Regions from separate parts of the Mus musculus genome. Here region 1 is reported to be linked to region 2. Evidence: microRNA targets listed by miRTarBase, many of them from high-throughput screens and not tested one by one. Region 2 holds a microRNA gene; the other region holds the end of a gene's coding sequence.

Region 1 (7,110 bases), not on the chromosome of region 2:
CTGTGAGCATCTACTTATGTGTTTGCTAGGCCCCGGCATATTCTCACAAGAGACAGCTATATCAGGGTCCTATCAGTACAATCTTGCTAGTGTATGCAATGGTGTCAGCGTTTGGAGGCTGATTATGGGATGGATCCCTAGATATGGCAGTCTCTAGATGGTCCATCGTTTTGTCTCAGCTCCAATCTTTGTCTCTGTAACTCCTTCCATGGGTATTTTGTTCCCAGTTCTAATAAGGGGCAAAGTGTCCACACTTTGGTCTTCATTCTTCTTGAGTTTCATGTGTTTTGCAAATTGTAACTTATATCTTGGGTATTCTAAGTTTCTGGGCTAATATCCACTTATCAGTGAGTACATATCATTTGAGTTCTTTTGTGATTGGGTTACTTCACTCAGGATGATGCCCTCCAGGTCCAACCATTTGCCTAGGAATTTCAGTGGGCTTTTCAATACCACGATTTTGTCAGCAACTCATGAAAATGTACCCTGAAATGAATACTTTTTTATGTATGTTATACTCAGTCAAATTAATTTTTAAGTCCCTGTACTTTTATATTAGACTTTTTACACACACACACACACACACACACACACCCCAGTAACACTGTATTAAGAAAATAGTGGTCTCTCCTTCTGTCCATATGTAGGCTACACAGCCTAGGTGAATGAGTTGGCCACCTCTCTGCCCCAGTGTCTGGCCTCACAGAGTTTTGTTGTTTTGTTGTGACAACAGGTATAAGAAAGTCTACAAAGTTCACCAGGACGTGTGCTTTAAGGAGCGCTGCCAGAGCACAAGCCTCAGGAAACCCAAACAGGTGCATCTCTGGGCCAGGCCAGGTTGTGCATGCAGTTCTGTGGGTGGGTAGTGACAGGGCTGGGTCAAGCTAGGTTGTTTGCCCAAAATTGCAGCCCATGTGTGGCTATACTCTACTCAGAATCTAGTGCCCACATGTGCACACAAGAGTGCACAGATAGGCCCAGCTGTGCCTGGAGGTGGTCACTGCCGTTCTGCACAGGGAATGTGGTGCTGACAGGAAAACATGAAATGTGACCAACAGGTCAGTGCCTAACCTGAAGTCCCCCCACAATGCCTGGTTGCTTTCTGCTCATCCCATAGCATCCTTCAGCTGGTGTGTGCAGCTGGACTGAAAGGCCAGGCTCCCTGTCAGCCTGTGAGGGCTTCGCTGGGTTACATATGAGGAACCGATGAGGCTGACAGAGGTAGGGTTTCAGGTACACAAGAGTCTTTCTCACCAAACTGGTTTTCTTAATTCTTTCAGGAAACAAAGTAACAGTCAAACACTGAAGAGATCTTAAGGAAATCATTCTCCTTCATACCAAGATCTGTTGAGAACTGGAGACACCATCACACCCAGCAACCTGGACACCAAGGTCCTTTATCAGACACTGATGGTGACAACTCAGCACTGTGCTGTTACAGACCCAACCAGGAAGGTTCCAGAATTCCCTGTCTATAGCCTCTCAATAGACATAACCTGGTCTGAGCTTGCATATGAATCTACTTTCAGGTGGAAATGACTCTCTCATTGCAGACCAGTTACAATGAGGTACAAGAATCACCTGGCCCCTTCAGGACCATGGGCCTTGCTGGCAGATGGATCAAGGATGCCAAACAGTCCAAACAATGCCAAAGGAAAGGACCTAAGGACATACCCCCAAGCCCTACGAGCAGCATTCTGCTGGTAGACTAGGGCGGGAGTCTTGTCATGTAACCTGCAGGAGATCCTAAATATAGCCTCTCTCTGGGGGTGCTAGAGTGGACCCTGGAATTCTAAGCACTAATAACCCTGAAATCAAAGAAACTGCCCGTTTGATCCAGCATGCCCCACCCCGCCTCCCCAAGCATAAACTGTGAGATGTTAAAGGGCATTGGAATTTTTTTTTTCACAGTAGTCTGGAAAATACTGGGTTACACTACAGAAATCCCTGTATAGGCTGAACACAGCCCCACACTGACTTATTGGCATAATTGGAATGACAGACTGGCTAGCCAGAGAGAATTTACTCCTCTCCCTTGGAGGAGCCAGGGCAGTCCATCTTTCCAGTGGTGGAAGAGAGGCATATCTGGAAAGCTCCCACTTCAGGAGTGACTATCACCTTTTTCTTCTATAGTGTAGGACATGAAGGAGAAATGTCACCCAAAGGCCTAAGAACAAACAAAAGCAATGGAGTTCCGGGTGAAGGTCATCCTAAGAAAACAGTGCCTGCAGTGACAGTGACAGGCACAGACAGAAGCTCACAGTCGGACCCTGAAATCAGGCAGGCATCAGGAGGGCAGGCTCTCAGACGGGCCTAGGGAGCAGGGCCTGTGCCTCCTGACCGGTTCAGATGTGAAACTCTGCAGGAAGAACAGCCGACAAGACTCAAGTCCTGTGCACCCAACAGCATCGCCTTTTCAGCCCAGCACCAAGAATGCACACAAAACACCCTCCAACACTTGTGAGCAACACATCTGGCAAAGATAAAAAATCCACAAATTATTTGGTTTTAAAATATTTATATGGTAATAAGTCACTTGAAATATTAATGCATCTTTTACGAACTCACCCAGAAAACCCATTTTTATAAAAAAAAAAAAGAGAGAGAGAATCCTAGATACTTACCACATAATGGCTTATAGAATTCCTATTCTCAGAGCAACACACATTACACACAGCCCTTTCTCTTTCTCTGAAGAAAAACACCAGAATTTGCGACCCACAGCTGCCCTGAGAAAGCCGGCAGTGCCATCCCCGCCAAAAGAAAGGCAGCAGAGGGCCAAGCAGCCTACTGATGCAAAGCCCCAGGCTGGGCACGAGTGTCCTCAGGGTGCGTGGCTCCTGTCCATCCCTCCCTGCATCCCAGCCGGCTGGAAATCTGGCTCCTGGGGACAGTGCTTGCTGTCTCCAGAGAAAGACAGTGGGTACAAAGAGGAGTGTGCCCCAGCTCACTGTTACTCCTTCAAAAGGACCAGCATGTGCTGGTAACACTGCCCACCTCCCGGATTTCCAAAACTCAGGAAAATGATGTCCAAAACTTAAAAGCCAAGCTCCTGGCTGAAAGCAGTCTCCCCTGAGATCTCTGTCCTCAGATTTCCAGAAAAGAGACAACCAGACCTGCACACCCAAAGCCGCCTGCCGGGGAAGCACTGAAGCACCTGCCATCTCAATCCAGCCTGCTGTTTCTGCAGCTCTGGTCAGTTCCCCTGTGGGGAGTTACCTGGGTTACCAGGCTCTGTGAGTGGTGCTTCTGTGCTCAGAAACCCACCCCCAGATCCCCGTGCCAGAGACATGACCCTTGAACTCCCAAAACATGGAGAAGGAAAAGACTCAACTTTCATAAAAAATACAAGAAAGGCTGTGTGGAAACAGGTGACCTCTACCCTGCTCCTCTCCTCATTTATACTGACCTAAAGAAGAAGTGCTAATTACTACTATGGTGGAGTTTAGACACTTGGTCTACAACTCAGGGGTGGCAGGGCAGTCAGATGCTCAGGCAGGATTTTGGGCTTCGAAGATAGAATGACCTCTCTGGCACACACGTGACCCTGCTACTGTACTGCCAACATGGTAACAGATGTAGATAGCATAGCTACATTCCAATGAAACTTCATTTACGAAAACAGGCGGTAGGCTAGAGTTGGCAGGCAGGTGCCTGGTTTATAAGATGATCTAGACTTCAGCCTTCTGTGGAGAATGCTATCTCCTGAATGACAAGTAGCCATCAAGACATGAAAAACCCCTAAACTTTCATAGAAGAAAAGCAATCAAGACCCTTGCTCAGGAGCCTAAGGTATACATACTTACACCATAGAGCAGCAAAAGCTATCAGTTCAAATCTAAACGCAGCCCACAGTAGCACAGGGCAGGCCGGCTGCAGGACACAGGGTCCAACCAAGGCTTCTTGTAATCTGCGCCTGAAGTAGATGGCTGTGGGCCACCAAAACGAAAATACTTTCTTTACACAGCCTCCGCTTTCCATCCCATTCCCAAGGCTCTAAGCAGCTTCCTCCTCCCTGCAGTGACCGCACAATCAGAAAAGCCAACCACACCTAGATTCCATGAGAGCAGAGCTGACCAGCACCAGCACCAAGAACTGCATCCCGACCAGAGAGGCCTTCTGCCCTCCACAGTTCATAAAAACATACTTTGAAGTATAACCTTTTACATTTTATTCTCACTAGAAAATTCTGAGCCTATGTATTACTTTTTTTTTTCTTTTTCAAGGAGGGTCAGTCACATCAAAAACTCACTACTGTATCTTAGATACCCACTAGAGATCTGGAGACCGAGTAAGCTACAGTGTTAACAGTGAACAGCAAGATCAAGCAGCACCTCTGGGAACGTAGATGGGATCTTCGTACTATACCTCAGGACTCTCACCCCCAAGCCGATGCTGCCACATTCCCATCTCCAGTTGGAGCCAGCCTGCTGTGTGGCGCTGTCGGGCAATCATTCCAACTGGAGTGGAGAAAGACTTGCCTGTGCTGAGGAATTAGTATACATCATTCCAAACATGCTGTCTCTGCTTTCTTACACAGAATAATTAAATCCCTCAAAACAGTCAGCGTCCACTTGGGAAATGTCATAGTGGAATCAGCAAACAGACAAGGTGGAGATTTATTTTTGTGTCCAACTGAAGTAATTATGAGTTGTTGGGCTCACCATTTGCTAATCAAAACTGAAGATGAGTAGATTACCTAATTGAGCTCACAGTTAGGATTCTATTCCGTTCTGATGAGTCCAAGGCCAAACACCCTACATTCAGGGAGGAGAGTGTCGATCACAAAAAGACCACAAAATGGGAAGAGTAAGCAGCAAAGAATGGATCATTGTTCTCAAACAGCTTTGTCCACAGCCAAGAACAGGCAGAAGGCATTCGTTCCCCTCTACTGCCTATGGGATGTGGGGTAGAGAAGATGGCTTGCTACGTCCTGCTTTCTGTGGAGAGTCCAACAGGCAAGGACACGCCCTTGCCAGGAATGAGCTTGCCTCACATACCTGCCATAGTGAGAACTGTGTGTGTGGAGGGTAGGGGTGGGGGGAGGAATCTTGGAATGATTGCTTTTCTTTGTAAACACCCTCCTCTTTGCAGTCAGGTTCCAGGTAAGTCAAGAGCCGCCTCACCTTGGTGCTGATTCCTCACAAAATGCACCTCAGATCCAGCAGTATCTCTGCTTTAGACAGAAATGATACATCAGGTCCATTTACAACACACATTAGCTGTAGTCACAGTACTTTTGTGGGCCAGGTCTTTGAGCAGTTTCTCAGCTTTGGCATTGCTTTGTGGGCCTAATTATTCCTTATGCGGTGCAATGTACAATATTTTACAGCATCCCTGGCTCTGACCACAAGATCCTGAGGCCATGACACACACACACACACACACACACACACACACACACAAATCCCCAAAGATTGTCAGATGTCTGGAGGATTAAGGTCATCCTCACGTAAGCACTGGATTCAGTCTAAACACAAGGCCCACATTGGGTTTCGTGTGACTGTTAAATGTCACCAAATGGGGGAAAAATACTACCAAGCACTCCTGACTTTGATCCTATAACCAAAAAGCTTTCTGCATCACCCTGTGCAGTTTCCTGAGGAAGAGGCACAGACAACTTTCCAAGAGGCCTCAGTTCTCTGACCCTCTAAGCCTGAGCTCCACCAAATCAGGCCTCTCCTCCAGCTCACCTCATCCTAGTCCCAGTACATCACATGGCTCCACTGCACACACTCCACACTGCCCAGTGCTCCCCAGTGCTGGTCTCTGAGCAGCTCACTCTTAGCACAGTCTACAGAGCCAGAAAGATAGGAGGCCTTGAAGTGGCAACCAGCCAGGAACCAACATGAAGGCCAACTTGCCCAAGCAGGAAGGGTCAGCAACTGACAGAGAAGCATTTTGCTAGTCTGACAACCGTGTGACTAAAGGACATGTTACTAACGTAACCAACTGCCTCTCACTCTGCTGTACACTCAACACGTCAGAAGGCTGGGAAATGGTGTCAGATTTAGAAGCTGCCTATTGTGTGGGAAACCTGCTACTTGTTTTCATTAAATAAAGTGCTATGACATACTAACCCTCATGTTTCAATTTCATGACTTCATCTTTACTACTACCTGGACATACAAAGTACTCCTGAGCCGAAAGGCACCTCTCTCTCCACATGGTTTTGGAACTAGCACAACTTATTTTAACAGAGAAAAAGACTCCAACCTGGAAGGGTTGCACCCCCTGGATTTTGACAGCCGAGTCCTTTATTTAGGATGGAGTAGGGCCTCCCAAAGAACCCACAACAAAGCACCCCTCATTTGGTTTGGTTTATCTACCTGTATCTCCAGTGGATCATTACAGGTTGGTTTTTTCCCCCATCAAAATACCAGTGTTGGGATCAAAAGTGCTTGAGAAGATCCAGGTGAAGGTCCCCAGCACTTCGAGAATATGAGAATGACCTCTGACACCCCAGTGCTGTGTCACAGTAGCTCCTCCTCTTCCTCCTCTTCCTCTTCCTCCTCAGATGCATGGCTCTCAGACTCCTCCTCCTCCTCTTGATCCAAGAGTTTTTTAAAAACTTGAAACTCCTCGACAGAGGAACAGGCTGTCCTGGCCAAAAACTCAGCTTCAGAAACTCTGAGAATGTTCCTCAGTGAGGGATTAGGGATCTGTGTCTGCCCCTTCTTATCAGGGGTCTGGTACCGTCCAAGGCGCTCCAGGTAAATGTGTCTCTGCTTGATCTTGGTTATTGAATACTGTAAGAAATTCGTCCTGACTATGTCTAGATGTGTGAGTCCCATCCTGAAATATGCATACTGAAAGATACAAACATGTTCAGGAATCCATGTAGAGAAACCTGAAGCCTGTCATTCCAACTCAAAACAAACTTTAGTCCAAAGTCATTAGTTGCCTAATTAGAAATGGTAGAATAGCCACTGTAGTATAATACCAACACTTTTATGAAATCTCAAGTTTTCAAAGCATTTCCAAATTCAAGCTGAGAAAAATGCATCAGAAAACAAAGGGGCATACAGGGATATACTTTTCTTTAAATAGGGCAACAAAAATCATGAGTGTAGGAAAAATCAGACCCAAAGAAATCCTAAGATACCTAGG
Region 2 (7,121 bases):
CGATCCTCCACAGAAACAAGGGCCCCCCCCCCAGTAATGCCCAATAAGGCAGTCCTCTGCTATGTATGCAGCTGGAGCCATGGGTCCCTCCATGTGTACTCTTCGGTTGGTGGTTTAGTCCCTGGGAGCTCTGGGGGTATACCCCTTAAGCTCCTTGGGTCCTTTCTCTAGCTCCTCCATTGGGGTTCCCATGCTCAGTCCGATGGTTGGTTGTGAGCATCCACCTCTGTGTTTGTCAGGTTATGGCAGAGCCAGTCCATCAGCATGCACTTCTTGGCATCCACAATAGCATCTGGGTTTGATGTCTGCTTTTATAAAACAGTAAAACATGGGGAAAAAAATCATCATGAAGGAGTGAAGCTTACTGGCTTTCTCTCCGTGGCTTGCTTAGTTTTCTCTCTATTACCATCCTGGATTACCTACTCAGGAATGGTACTACTATAGTAACTTAAATCCTCTCAATCATTAACCAAGAAAATGCCCTACACACTTACCTATAACCCAATCTTTCACAGGTACTTTCAAAATTAAGATTCCCTGTTCCCAGATATGGATGAGTTTATACCAGGTTGATGCAAAACAACCAGCTCATATTGCTATTCATCAATCTTAATTATTCCATCTCAATTTAATTTTTATGAAGATTTTCACTATGCTTTTTATTCACTTACAATTTTTTGTTTGATCATAATTTCTACTTATCTTTTTAGTCATTATTTCTGTATCTTGTAGTAAGAAGTCAAGGAGGAGTGCTAATAATCAGCTTGATTCATTCTTTTTCTTTAGTCCACTTTACAAGGTCAAATCAAAGAAGCCTGACAACAATCAGCAGCTAGGGTATCTCAATTTTTTCTGAAAGAGTCAAAGACTTGAATGCAAAAATATTTTTGTTTCCGGATTATCTTGTATCTTCCTACTCTGAATGATGTTCTCCAGTCAGCTAATTGTTCTAGGAGCATATTCAGTGATAAACCTAGAAGTATGTTTCCTAGTTTATCCCATGCTCCTTAAAGTTTAAAATCAGAATAACTTATTCATTATACATTAATGTTCTTGTTTGTATGGGAGCAAAGTGTTGTTCCAGATTGAGTAAAATGCAACCAACTCTTTTAAGAGCAAGCTTCACCAAGTGTATTACTTTATTAAACTTCTGGATATTGACCTTTGGATAGCTCCTAATTTCTTTGGCTGGTCTTTAATAATCTTAAGTAGTCCTGTGATATTTCTAGTTCATAGGGTTTATTAATGATGACTTTATTTCTATTCTTTGTTCAGTTGACTCACATGTATTAGACAACATAAAAATACTTTACTTATAAAAATTGGAAATGAAATAAACATGCATTATTGGTCATTCGATTCAACGAAGTAAGTAACAATATAGGATCAAAGGCTTTCATTTGTTATGCATGATGAATGACCATATCGTAAGCACAATTAAATATGTTAGGAATAAATTAATTCAGGGTTCAGGAGTCACACAGGACTGATAAATGTTCTAGTGATATAATAATAACAAGAATCATCACCTTCAAATACAGCAAAGTTGTTCTCTTTGCAGTGCCTATATGTCAGTGTCCTTTATGCATAGTTTAAGTCTTAGAAAATAGCATCCTATGTCATGGATGACCACAAATTGAACCCAGTCTATTCAGAATCATCATCATGCAAACTTAATATAGTGGTATATTACAAGATAGAGGAAAGAGGCATTGTGATTATTTTGATTCCTATTCTTAATCATTAATTGTCTTAGATTATAAAAAAAAGGACAGGATTAAGTATATACCCTATAAAAAATAAAAATTAGTTAAAGATTATATTATTGATTCTCCAAAACATCTAGTTTGTAAGAATGTATGTCAGAAGGCCTGTGGTTGTCATAAATATGATTGGGAATGAGATTTTAGAATATGTGGTCACATTAACATTCATATTAACAATCTGAGTGTGGTATAATATGAAATATGCTGGTGTTTGGGACAGGCTGATGCTATTCCTCATACTCAATGAACAAATTGTGTGCAGTACAATATTCAGAGAGATAACAGTCACATCTTTTCTAAAGTAACTGTGTCTTTTCTGAATAGAGTAATGTTCACCAAAAACAGCCTTAGTGATATACTCACTGAAGATCACAGGAGGCACTGTATCATAACACATCCTCAAGATTGATACGGCGGTAACTTCAATCGTCATTGGGGATCATCTTAATATACAAAGATGCAATCTGTTTATTTTTCTGGATAGTATAACTATTCACTGAAAAGGAAAGTTAGTTACAGGACATGCTTTATGTAAAAGCGTGGTGAAGGAGAGTGATTAATTATTCTCAAAAGTAGATGGACAAATTATGTCAAAGGATAGTTATCATGTTTTTTTTTAATTTAGTCTCTGATAAAAGCTGAAGTGTATGATAGAGGCTTCTTATACAGCAAGTTAATGAAAAGAGTGTTGTGTGCAATGCTTTATCTAGTTGGATGTCAAGACACGTGAAACTTAAGTGCATGACACCACACTGGGTAGAGGAGGGCTCACAGTGTTCCTCATTTGTTGTGGGCTTGGGTGGTCACAGTGCTGATAAATGAATGCTGCTGTTAGTTTGGCTGCACAGAAATAGAACCATGCATATTGTGTTTCTAGGTGTATTTATATTGTTACCTTTACATAAGGAATGTTGTGTTAGTGTCAGAAAGAATCTCTTTAAGTCAGACAAGAAAAAATAAAGTACATTAACACAGTTCCCAGTACATGAATACATTTATAAAACCTCCACTCTTTATTTTGACAGTCATTTCCCTTAGAAGAAGGCAAGTAAAAGGATTTATGGTATGAGAAACACATACTAAAGGTGTTTGATAATATGATTTTAAGCCTAAATTACAGAAGAGTTCAAACATTGTGGTTTGATGACTATGTAATAAAATGGGCAGGAGATGAAGGAAGCTTTTGTGACAGTGTCTACTTAAATACAATTATGCTCATTTTTATATTAACATTGGTACTGATGAGATGAAGTCCTTATGACCATGGATTTTCTTAAAGGAAGGTTCAGCAAGTAACTCATATAATGGCCTCTGTATGTAACCAAGGTAACTTGAAGTTCCTATTTATAGAGGAATTTTTGATATCTGATGGCTTAAATTCTCTTTAACATTCTTTGGACAGTCTGTTCTTAATCTTATGAACCTCATGTTAAATAATGTAAAGAAAGGTGCTAACATAAGGTACTTTTATTAGTGCATACATGTATAAAGTTAAATACTATAGATCATAGAATATGAAGAGTTGTGAAAGATAAAGTGCAGTATAGTCCTTTTAAACCTATGAATAAATAAGGTATTGTTGATGTATCTAACTATATTTATATAATTGCTGGAATATACTGAAGATTGTGGGATCAAGCTGAGACACAGGACATCACTGAACAAACTGTGTGCACTGCAATACTCAGATTGATATGAGTCACTTCCTATTGCATGTTACTCCATCCTCTCTGAGTAGAGTAAGGCACACCAATCACCAGTTTTGGTACCTGTAAATGTCTCATGTATGGATATGGTGAGGTTGATACATGCATGCATATTAGATGTGTTTTCCAGTCTTCAGCTTCAATGTATTACACTTCACCTTAGATAGCTTGGATGAGTGAACAGACTACAGAAGGATAAAAAATGATCTTTTTGGGAAATACTACGGTTCAGAGAAAATGGCAGTCAGCTAACTTTCATGCTAGTGAAAACCATTCTTCTGAAGCTGGAGGAATGTTAAAAAGATAGGTTCTTGATGGAATCCATGATGATGCATGAACAAATTAGACTAGCATTTAGTTATCATGTGAGTTGGTAACTTGATGCAAGCTAAAGATAAAAAGGGGATTGTAGAGGCTAGATTTCAACATTTCAACATTTACATATAATGTATGCTGCTTTAGCTAATTTTCTGTGCACCCTGGGAAACATAAAAGATGATATCCCATATTGGGTAAGGCAATATTTAATGAAGATTTCATTTGTGTACTCACCTTATGAATATATACAAGTATGTAAGCATAAAAGTGCAAAACATTTAGTTTATTCTTCATATGAATTAATAAAATGAATTTAATTTTACAGATACAGTGTTGGCAATCATCTACGCAAACTACAGGTCACTGTATCTACCATATATTGTTCTTATATGGATATTTAAAACAGAGTTGTGATACTCATTTCTTCCCTACTCCCTCACTTATCCTAGAATCTTACCTTGCTCCACAGTTAAACAATGCCCCCCCCCATTAGTCTCCTTTCCTCTTCCATACCACCTGTGTTTTGTTACCCTTTTAGTAAGCTTTTCTCACAACTCTCTACCCAGTGGCCTTTTTCTATTTTTATGGGTTCTGTAGTTATTCCTTGCTGAACACACAAATCTAATAATTATTTTAATACTTGCATGTTACAGGAGGAAGAAAAATAACTTCAACGAGAAATTCTAACTTATATAAGTGAAATTACAGTCCCCCGTATTGTCTTGGTAGAGAATACCATTAATTGAAACAGAAGACACATCAGAGGATATTCTCTTGGAGGAATTTTTGGTGACAATTTGTAGATTGTGTGTGTGTGTGTACATATATGTATATATATTATACACAAAGTATGTCAAGTTTTAGCAACAATGTACAATTGGTACTTTGCTAAAAGATAAAGAGGATCATGGAAGCTACATTTGCAACATTTTTATATTAAAGGTATGATGTACCCTGCTTTACCTAATTTGTTGTCCATCATGTAAAACATAAATGATGATAGACACCATATAAGGTAGAGGAAGGTTCACTATGTTCATCACCTGGAACATCATTGTGGTATAGAAGCATTAACCCTTGTTAGAGCTTGCTGGCCTTAATTTGGCATTTGTATCTAAAGGACCAAAGTTTAGTAAGGTGCATTTATTCTTTTTTTTCCCATTTTTTATTAGGTATTTAGCTCATTTACATTTCCAATGCTATACCAAAAGTCCCCCATACCCACCCATCCCCACTCCCCTACCCACCCACTCCCCCTTTTTGGCCCTGGCGTTCCCCTGTACTGGGGCATATAAAGTTTGCAAGTCCAATGGGCCTCTCTTTCCAGTGATGGCTGACTAGGCCATCTTTTGATACATATGCAGCTAGAGTCAAGAGCTCCGGGGTACTGGTTAGTTCATAATGTTGTTCCACCTATAGGGTTGCAGATCCCTTTAGCTCCTTGGGTACTTTCTCTAGCTCCTCCATTGGGAGCCCTGTGATCCATCCATTAGCTGACTGTGAGCATCCACTTCTGTGTTTGCTAGGCCCTGGCATAGTCTCACAAGAGACAGCTACATCTGGGTCCTTTCAATAAAATCTTGCTAGTGTATGCAATGGTGTCAGCGTTTGGATGCTGATTATGGGGTGGATCCCTGGATATGGCAGTCTCTACATGGTCCATCCTTTCATCTCAGCTCCAAACTTTGTCTCTGTAACTCCTTCCATGGGTGTTTTGTTCCCAATTCTAAGGAGGGGCATAGTGTCCACACTTCAGTCTTCATTCTTCTTGAGTTTCATGTGTCATTCTTCTTGAGTTTCATGTGGCATTTATTCTTTAATGTTAACCTTGCAGACACATCAAGATTTATAAACATTCAGATACAACAATCATTACATGTTTTTAAATTACAGATTTAGTTCAGTATATTTTTAAATTATAATTTAATTATAATATTTATACCTCTTATTTTTCCCTCCAAACACTTTCATATTTCCCTCCCTGCTCTCCCTCAAATTGATGATGTTTGTCAATAATTGTTACTGAATGTATTGATGTATTTTTATATAGCTATTTATTCCTAAATATATTCTGCTAAGTCTGTATAGTGTTACTTGTTTGTATGTTTTCAGGATGAATGTTTTGCACTAGACAACCAAATGGAATGTTCTTCCATGAGTGCTGGGAGTTAGGAGACATCTCCCAATACTGGCTTTTCTAGTTGTGTATAGTTCTTTGTGTAGGATTGAGGAATCATGAGCTTTTCCTGGTTTAATCTCAATTTTGACAGCCATTCGTGCAAATAACTGCTCATAATAACTAGATGGAAATATGTGGGAAAGAATACTATAGAATTATTTCATAAGGACATATAAATACAATTAAGGTTTATATTTTATGCTGTAGGGTGAATTGATAAATTTTGAGTGATAATTAAGAGTTTTAAGCGGGACTTCACATTTTTGGTTTATTTTTAACCTTAAGTTAATCTAGTTTTATAGTATTTATAAGTAGAATATAATTTTCCAATTAACAGAAATAAATGTGTGTTTACCTCTAAGTGGAAGAAAACTTTACTCATTTATTGTGGCTTCGTGAATATGAAAATGGTATTCCAAAACTTAAAGTTTTGGGGCTTCTGGGATTTTAGATGGCCATTTGATCTTGTAGGAAATATTATTCTTTTATATGATAATATTTTACTATCATTTGGTTCACAAATAATTTTGAGACTATATGAATGGAGGGTATTAAGTTAGGAAATAAATAAAATAAATAAATAAGTAAATAAAAATTAGGTAATTTATGTACGCATGTCTTTCCCACCATGGTGTTAGAATATGATATAGGAAAAAAAAAAGAATATGATATAGGCTAGGTTGCAAGATTGACAAGGTAAAAGTATGTTTTACTATCCTTAGTATTTAGAAATAATAAATATATGTTTCATGCATAGTTGTAATGGTAACTGTTTCTCTGATTTTTGCTTTTTCTTTAACTTTCATTTTGATGAGTTTTGTGTTATTGCTAGTTCATTTTTTTTAAATCAAGGGAAAGATGTTTGGGGTTGATGAGTGAGGTGGTAGGGCAGATCTGAGAATAGGTGAAAGCATGATCAGAATATATTGTAAGGGAAAAACATTTTTAGTAAGTAAAACGTGCTGGATGTATTAATTTGAATAAAAAAACTGAATATTAGCTGTAGTGAAAACTATTTATAGAAATGGTGACATAAGATGATACTATGTGAAAGAAAATCATGATATAGTAGAATTGGTAGGTATTCTCTAAGATTTACTACTAAATGAGGTAAGAATGCAAGAATTGTGGAGTTATGATTTCTAATTGAAG

Evidence for each region. The annotated mature microRNA mmu-miR-878-3p reads GCAUGACACCACACUGGGUAGA and lies in region 2 at 2,506-2,527, shown strand. An mRNA with a match to its seed (bases 2 to 7 or 8) in the 3' UTR can be bound and repressed. Matches are read on the target gene's strand: a 7mer-m8 pairs with bases 2 to 8, a 7mer-A1 pairs with bases 2 to 7 and ends in A, and an 8mer does both.
Region 1: miRTarBase lists Mterf4 as a target of mmu-miR-878-3p. The part of its 3' UTR that is shown has no 7-base or 8-base seed match.

Annotation. Positions count from the first base shown.
Region 1 is chr1:93,294,987-93,302,096 of GRCm38, forward strand. Mterf4 (mitochondrial transcription termination factor 4) reads right to left here. Exons shown (of 4, transcript NM_178051.4): 4 at 6,219-6,809. The coding sequence ends at 6,474. Sned1 (sushi, nidogen and EGF-like domains 1) reads left to right here. Exons shown (of 31, transcript NM_172463.4): 30 at 734-815; 31 at 1,281-1,462. The coding sequence ends at 1,292. Among named protein-coding and RNA genes, the nearest start is that of Mterf4, 7.3 kb to the right of the region's middle.
Region 2 is chrX:66,796,924-66,804,044 of GRCm38, reverse strand. Mir878 (microRNA 878) reads left to right here and starts at 2,460; the gene lies at 2,460-2,537. Mir463 (microRNA 463) reads left to right here and starts at 4,748; the gene lies at 4,748-4,822. Mir880 (microRNA 880) reads left to right here and starts at 3,438; the gene lies at 3,438-3,515. Mir881 (microRNA 881) reads left to right here and starts at 2,024; the gene lies at 2,024-2,101.